2 linked regions of the Mus musculus genome follow. The protein of the gene in region 2 interacts with the protein of the main gene of each other region in a biochemical or structural test. Links are inferred from orthologs where the notes say so. Each region holds a gene or a part of one and is shown on either strand. Other genes may lie near its edges.

The links. The genes of interacting proteins can lie anywhere in the genome.
Region 1: the proteins of Dlg4 (region 2) and Ctnnd2 interact in a test that uses a peptide from one of them, tested with the Homo sapiens proteins (2 studies listed by IntAct, with this or other methods). The link is inferred for Mus musculus from reciprocal best matches to the Homo sapiens genes DLG4 and CTNND2.

What each region holds. Positions count from the first base shown.
Region 1 is NC_000081.6:30,171,173-30,175,391, forward strand, and holds the start of Ctnnd2 (catenin delta-2), read left to right. Parts: upstream 1-1,361; 5' UTR 1,362-1,954; coding exon 1,955-1,991; intron 1,992-1,997; exon of another isoform or gene 1,998-2,631; intron 2,632-4,219. UniProt on the Homo sapiens protein: Has a critical role in neuronal development, particularly in the formation and/or maintenance of dendritic spines and synapses. Involved in the regulation of Wnt signaling.
Region 2 is NC_000077.6:70,037,686-70,041,252, reverse strand, and holds part of Dlg4 (disks large homolog 4 isoform 6 precursor), read right to left. Parts: intron 2,231-3,567; coding exon 1,935-2,230; intron 1,770-1,934; coding exon 1,667-1,769; intron 1,507-1,666; coding exon 1,392-1,506; intron 1-1,391. UniProt on the Homo sapiens protein: Postsynaptic scaffolding protein that plays a critical role in synaptogenesis and synaptic plasticity by providing a platform for the postsynaptic clustering of crucial synaptic proteins.

The DNA of each region.
Region 1 (4,219 bases), on a different chromosome or scaffold from region 2:
AAGCTGATGTGGGAAAAAAAAAAACAAAAAAACAAAAAAACAAAAAACCAAACCTGCAAATGACCACATATCTTCCCTCACAGGAATCAGGCTATGTTAATGTCACACCAGCTTCGAAGGAGAACCTACACTGGAGAACAACTTTTGGGAGTGAGACTGAGCCTACTAGAGGTAGATGGAATGACTGACGGTGCACATTTCCCTGTTGTGAACAGTCATTACTCAATCTCTTGTCTGTTCCTTTACATATTTAGTCTGCTTAACTTTTCTTTCCACTTGCCTCAGCCTTTCACTAACTCCAGAGAATAATAGAGGCTATCTCAGATTTAATGCAAGCATTTTGACCTTGTTGGATAATCTCTTGCAAACTGAATAGAAATGTCCCTGAGATTACTGAAGCTGGAACCCCTCTTATTACAAGTTCGGGGTTCCTGGTCCATTTATCTGTGTCTCAGAAAATGGCTCTGGGAAAGAGTAGGGTGGGGTGGGCTGGCTTCAAAGTAAGGATCTTTGGTGGAATAATTATGGGACGTATTTGTCCTGCATGTGACTGACAGACTTTGCAGCCACACAGGGACATAGATGAAGGTCCTGAGGGCCTGCCTGCCTTGGAACTTGGCATGGGTTTCGTTTTCCAACAAGACTTTTCATAGTGTGACTTTGCTTGCTAGATTTAGCACTCTGTGTTGCCTAATGACTGACTAACTGAGAGACATTCGGAAATCTCAGTTGGAAATGGAGCAAGCTTCACAGACTCCACCGCGGTCAGTGGAGGAGGAGCAAAGTTTTCATTTTAGCACGGGACAATGGAAGAGAAGAGGAAAACAGTCGTGGAGGTGTCCAAGAAGACAACTGGGTGAGACGTGACAGGAAGACGAAGAGAATTCATTAAAGCTCTAGATCCAGCAAGGGTCTTCCTTGTAGGAAGTTTACTCATATTCCAGATTTTAAAACCAGACTGAGTTTGCATAAAGCATAATCAGAGCAGGAGGTGGTGGAGATGGGGCCCCAACACTACGAAAGAACCTTTCACAGACGTCATGCGTTCTTTGCTTTGGAACCCTAGAATCTACAAGAACATCCACCCCCATCCACTAGCTTTCATGGCTGGCCCGGTGCTCTCCTTAACTCACAAGCTACTCTAAAACCCCTCAATCGCTGCCCCTTTGCAGACCAACATCTGCCCCGCAGAATCAACTCTCCGCGTAGGCTCTATCTCGGGTGCTGTCTGTTCCCGGGGATGCGCGGCCCTCTCCCAACCTGAGCCGCCTCCTCCCATCTCTGCTGCTGTTGCTGCCGCCGCGAAAACCAGAAGTGGAATTCGCGTGGCGAGGCGCCGCGCTCTCTCGGCGGCACTGGGCATGCTCCGCACCCGGGGCAGGTTTCGGTGGTGGGGCGGACGCTCGCTCGCTCACTAGCCAAGCGCCGGAGCCGGCCGCCGCGGCTGAGCCGGAGGCTGAGCTGCGGCGCGCGGCGGGAGGAGCCTCGCTCTCGGCGGCGGCGGCGGCGGCGGCGACACAGGTGGCGCGGGCGGCGCGCAGGGCGCAGCTCGAGAGCGCTCGGCGCCGGGCGCCAGGGCGGCCCAGGCTCGCGCCCGCGGCGGCAACCGGCCGAGCGGAGCGGCGGGCGCGGCGGCTCGGTAGCCCGGCCCGAGCCCGGGGAGCCCCGCGGAACCCTGAGCATCCCGCGGCGCCCGCCGAGTCGGGCAGGGGGCGCTACGCTCGCCGCGCTCGGAGGGGCGGCCGGGCCGGGCGCTGCGCACTCGCGTCGGGAGCCGCCTCTCGCCTGCCGCGCTCGCCCCTGCTCCCCGCCAGCATCACTTGTCCCGCGGCCGCGCTCCGACAACAAAAGCGGAGGATGCTGCAGCTGGGCAAGGTCAGGACCTTGCTCTGAAGCCGGGCGGCGGCGCGCACGCCTTTCCCCCGACTGAGGAGCTGTCTTTGGCGGCGGGTGCATGTTCGCCAGGAAGCAGTCGGGCGCCGCGCCGTTCGGTGAGTTGCCTTAGCTGAGCTGCTGGAGCCGGGCGCATCCTCCGGGCGTCGTCCTCTTGCTCACCGCCGGTGGGGGTTGGTCCTCCGCTTCCAGCGGGGCTAGGGGTGGCGGCGGGCGGCAGTGGGGTGCTGTCTGCCCCGGGGGAGGACCGCGATCCTACCGGCTCCCCTCTTGGAAGGCGGCTCTCCCCGCAACGGGGTCCGGGGTCAGTGTCTTTCTTGGAGCGGTTACCAAGTGGCTTCTCCGCGTGCTCCCCTCCCTGCCACCCCTCTACCTCGGAGGACGCGTATATAGGGCAACACCGACTGCTCCCCGCCACCCTCCAGAGCAACCCGGTTGCATTCATGACGTCCCTAATATACCGGAGAAGACGGGGTGGGGGCGGGGAAGACTTCCTTCCAGTCTTTTGCCCTTATGTTCAATGTCATTACGATGTTTGGCTAGAACAAAATGGAAAGACTTAGTCATATGCGTCCATGGCCGTTTCTTCAGTCTCCCGCTGCTCGCCAGACCCAGACCCCTTTGGTCTATATTTAGCGTTTCCGAGGAAGCATTTTCAGAGGGATTCACAGGCTTCCGGGGGCTTCTCTGTCCTGACAATAGATAGCGAGGCTCTGGAAAGCGCTGCCTGACAGCCAGGTTTGGCAAGGGTGCTTGTGCATGGGAGATAGGCGTAGCGATATTTGGGTGATTCGTAATTAATGGCTGAAAGCAAAGCTGCGTTTCGCTCCCCCCTTCCTCTTCTTCTTGTGTGTAATGTGTTTTCATCGATTGATACTCAGCATGTTGAGCCACTCTGTTCAGAGTAAAGTCTCTAGGAAGGAGGTGCAACCTCCTCGGTCGGAGGGTGGGGGTCGGAAAACAGACTTGGGGGCTTAGAGGGATGTGCATCTCTGTATTTTCCACAAGGAGCCACTTATTTCTCAAATACCCAAAGTTGCGTTTTCACTGTAAACACCGGGGTAATGAAGGGTGTGGAAGAAGAGGATAATAGAGGGGGAGGCTGTGCTTGCAAGGGGTTTGTATTTCCCTCATTTGAACTGATCTGCTGTGCTTCAACTCTGCAAGGCTGTATACGTATGCATGCCTAATGTTCTCTAAGAGATATGTTGGCTTAGAAAAGAGATATGTAATGAGCAAAAATCAGGCCCGATAAGCATGACGGACAGTTCACTTTTAGGAACTGTGTGACTGATATTTAAGACGCCGAGAATTTTCTGCATTGACTTCCATGAAAATGGGGAGGTGTTGCCCCTGCCCATGAGTTACCTCATTTTGCACACTTCCACTGGTGGTAGTTCAGTTGATGTGCCCGCTGGTGAGCATGTATCAACATAATTGGAAGGCTCCCCAGCCCCGCTACTAAAATCCAGTGGAAGATTGTTTGATATGACTCCTTTTGGATTGCCAACGTAGAACAGTGCATGATTTGGGGGATCTGATATATGGGAGGTATGGCCAATAGAGGCAAGAATCCTCGTGTATGGAATAGCTGCTTTCAACAGCCAGATGCCTCTTCCTTTAGTGATTCTCTGTGCCAAGCAGAATCCATTGTTAATGTTGAATAGTATCCGTACTGGTCTGTGGGTTACAAGGTCCAAAGCTTGAATGAAGATGGGCTATGCTTGGAATTAGTTGTTGGAATATAGAAGGACTGTAATTTTACTAATAACAAGCGAGCGTGGGAAAAGCACCGCCGGAGGCTACTCTGCTTGGCTTAAGGGAACGCTGCGATTCCTTTGCCAACACTGCTGTAGTTTCACCTTTATTCACATTCAGGCAACTTTACAGGAGCGCTTTGAGCACACTCTTGGAGCCCTTGCATTATATCAATGTAAAATTTCTTTCAGAAGCATGCCTTAGATGAAGGAGGTGTACTTTCCCCTTTCCTTTCCTTTCCTTTCCTTTCCTTTCCTTTCCTTTCCTTTCCTTTCCTTTCCTTTCCTTTCCTTTCCTTTCCTTTCCTTGAGTCTAGTGTTTCAGTTTTAACCATGATTCTTACAGACGAGTTGACAACACTGTGTGCCTGTGTGTGCCTCCAGAGAGCAGCTGCTGGGCGTGAGAAAAACTCCATGGCTTCTGCATGAGACTTTTATGCTATATTGTGGGTTGAAAATGATAGTACCTGACTGAATGGCAGTTTTAGCAAGTGCATGAGGTTGGTGCTCTAATGAAATTGTCCTAGTCTTGTGCAAAGGGGTTATTTAACTGTGTGTGTGTGTGTGTG
Region 2 (3,567 bases):
GGACAAGGGATCTGCAAGCAAAGTATGAACCTCCCGGTGGCACACACACACACACACACACACACACACACGGGATCTGCAAGCAAAGTATGAACCTCCCGGGTGGCACACACACACACATGCACACCCACACACCCACACACCCACACACCCACACACACACACACACACACACACACACACACACACACACACACACACACACACGGTAAGCAATCCCAGACCTGTCTAAGGACAAAAAGCTCTGGGAAGTTTCTGAAAGAACAAAGGTGCAGAGAAAAGCAGTGGGGCTGGGGAGAAAAGCCCCCGAGTCATGCAGTGAGAACTAAATGACCCCCAGCACCTGCTAGCCTCCCACAGAGAGGGAGCGCTTAGGTGTGGGTCCCTAAGACATAACACAGGCATCCAGGAGAAACACAGCAAGCTGAGTCTAAGACATGTTGGCTGTGACAAGCCTGTGGACAACCCAATGGAGATGGCCTAAAGGCAACATCCAGAATGGTTGGAACCTCCAAGAAGGCATCCCACCAGGCCACACAGCTCTCAGGGACACCAGTATAGCAGAGGGCAGATAAGACCAGCCACCTGAACAAAGAAAGCAGATGGAGGGGAGAGACAGGGAAGGGGAGGGACGAGACCTCAACGCCTTGTGAAGAGACAGGAAGGGGACTCATGAGAAAAGAGGCCCCGAGAAGGGAGAAAATGCTACTGAGCAGTCGGGAGGTGAGCTGAGGTGGATTTTCAACGGTGGTTTTGGTGCCTGCCTAACATGTACGGAGCCCTGGATTCAATCCCTAGCACAGAGATGGAAGGAAGGGCAAGAAGTAAGAAAGACAGGCGGCGGGCACAGAGGAGCTGCAGTCCTTCCGCAGAGGCTTCCCACAAGGGTGCCAAGCTGGAGGAAGACTCAAAATATCCCAAAGCTGGGCATGGTGACAAGTGCCTGTATCTATGGCAGGAAGATTATTAAAGCACAGGGGTTCAAACTCAGCCTAGGGGATAAGGGAGGGAGGGAGGGAGGGAGGGAGGGAGGGAGGGAGGGAGGGAGGGAGGGAGGGAGGGAGGGAGGAGAGGAGGGAGGGAGAGAGAGAGAGCTAGAGACGCCTGCTGTGTCACACACTGGCCTTAGGCCCTACCATTGAGAGCCATTGGTTAGTGCTTGTGTGACCGGGACCTAGAAGGCAATTCAAACACTTGGGGCAGGCACTAAATTTCAACCAGATAATATACTCCAGAAGACCAGTGTGTGCAGCCAAGTCTATGAACCCATGGCTAAGGGTCACTCACGTCTGGGTGGGAGAGGAGAAGGGCAAGATTTAGGGAAGGAGCTGTGTGGGGGATGGGCAGGAGTTCATGGAGGCCTCCAGAGCCACGCCAAGGACGCTTCTTACCTGATATAGAAGCCCCGCTTGGGGTTGCTTCGCAGAGATGCAGTCCCTGAGCCCAGGCTACTATTCATAAGCTGTTCCCGAAGATCATGGATCTTGGCCTCGAATCGGCTATACTCTGAGAAAGGACAAGAAGGTTCTGGAACTCTGCCCCATCCTAATGCCACACCCCGCCAAACCTCACCCTACCCCTACTGAGACCACCTGTCCGTCCATCAGCTAAAGACAATGCTGAGGACCACCTTAGCCAACAAGACAGGGAAGCTTAGGCGTGGTACCTTCTGGTTTATACTGAGCGATGATCGTGACCGTCTGACCCGCGTTCTTCAGGGCAATGGCAGCCTGTTCATGACTGGCATTGCGGAGGTCAACACCATTGACCTAGAAAGGGAGAAGACACTGTCACCTGGGATGGGAAGACAATTTGGGACTCAGTGAGTCAGGGAGTGGTCCAACCGGACCTGGCTTGAGCCCATTGAGCCCCTCCCCAAGAGCACAGGACTCTCTTTGGTGGGCAGTGCAGACCCTTGCACGGGCCTCTCTCACCGACAGGATCTGGTCCCCCTTCCGTAGCTCCCCACTGAGGTCAGCTGGACCCCCAGCAAGGATGAAGGAGATGAAGATGCCTTCACCGTCCTCGCCGCCCACAATGTTGAAGCCCAGGCCGGTGGAGCCCCGATGGATCACGATCCGCCTTGGTTCCCGGGGAATATCTTCCTCCCCTAGCAGGTCCTTGGCCACGGGGGAGTAGCGCCGAGGGGAAGTGGGGGTCATGGCTGTGGGGTAGTCGGTGCCCAAGTAGCTGCTATGACTGATCTCATTGTCCAGGTGCTGAGAATATGCTGAGGGGAGACAGGGTGAGATGAAAACGCTTTGACGGTGGTACCCACCCTTCCACCCTCTCCAGAGGGAGCCCAGAGCCAGGCTCAGCCAAAGAGGAGTTATTCTGCCGAAAAGGTTTGTGGGTAACCCGCAGCAGCAGGGGTCAGAAGTTTACAGATGACATCAAAGGGATCTGAAGGTCGTATGTCTTTAGTATGGCAGGAATGGGGACAACAGGGGAATATTAGCATCATGCTCTTTCAGACTGCCTTCTGATTAAAGTGTCTCTCGGGTCTCTCAATCCACAGTATTCCTCTCCCTTTGCCCAGTCATTCCTGGTTTCTGTTTGTTGGTTGGGTGGTTGGGGTTTTTTTGTTTGTTTGGTTGGTTGGTTTTGGTTTTGGTTTTGTTTTAATTGGGTCATTTGTCTAAAGTATTTTCCCACATTCTTTGAGGGCTAGCAGTCTGCTCGTTTCCCTGTGGTCTTGCTTAGCCTGTGCCCAGCTCAGCACCGTTTTTGTTTTCCCAGATTTGTTCTAGAGGCTCAGTAGGCTCAGATTCAACGTGAAAATGTTCACCCAGGGTGGAGTCCTGTGCCTCCCAAAGAATGCAGTGAAGTCTGCTGGGTGTGGTACCCACACTTCAGATCCACTGGGGCAGCCGAAGCACATTGAGTTCCAGGCCAGCCCGGGTTACATAGTAAGACCCTGTCTCAAAAGGAAAGGGGAAGTGGGGGCCTGTCTGCCTGTCTTTCTTGAACTGGCAGGTTCTGAGGTCATCAGGCTGGCCTGCCCATACAACGTGTTCTATCAGGCTCCTTCCGTAGTCCTTGCAGGCATTCAGGATGGTGTCTAAGGCTGATGCTCAAAGAGACTGCCAAGTGTTAATGTTGTACAATCATTAATAAGATTTTTTAGAAAGGACCTGCTGAGTGCTGTGTTCGAGCCTACTATCCCACTGCTGTAAACCGAAGGCCGGCGTGGGTTACATGAGGACTTTGAAGCTAGCCTGGGCTACATAATGAGACCTTATCTCAAAACAAAAACGGTAAGAAGACATACAGACCCACACACGCGTGCACACAAGAACTGCTGCCCAGCACCTTGAGCTTACTCTGTGATAAGCTTACACAGAGGAGAGCGAGTGGATGACTGATTCTCTCCCTTGCTTACGTTTCCAGGAAGAAATGGTAGGCCTCTAGATAACCTAGCGTCCTCCAAAGGTAACAATGGAAAGTTATCTTGTCATGAAGATGGGAACACAGGCTTTGCTCAGCCTGGACATTCACTGCATGACAGACCCCCAGCCTGTGTCCATCTGATCAAGTTTGGTTTTGGTTTTACTTTCAAAGATCTAT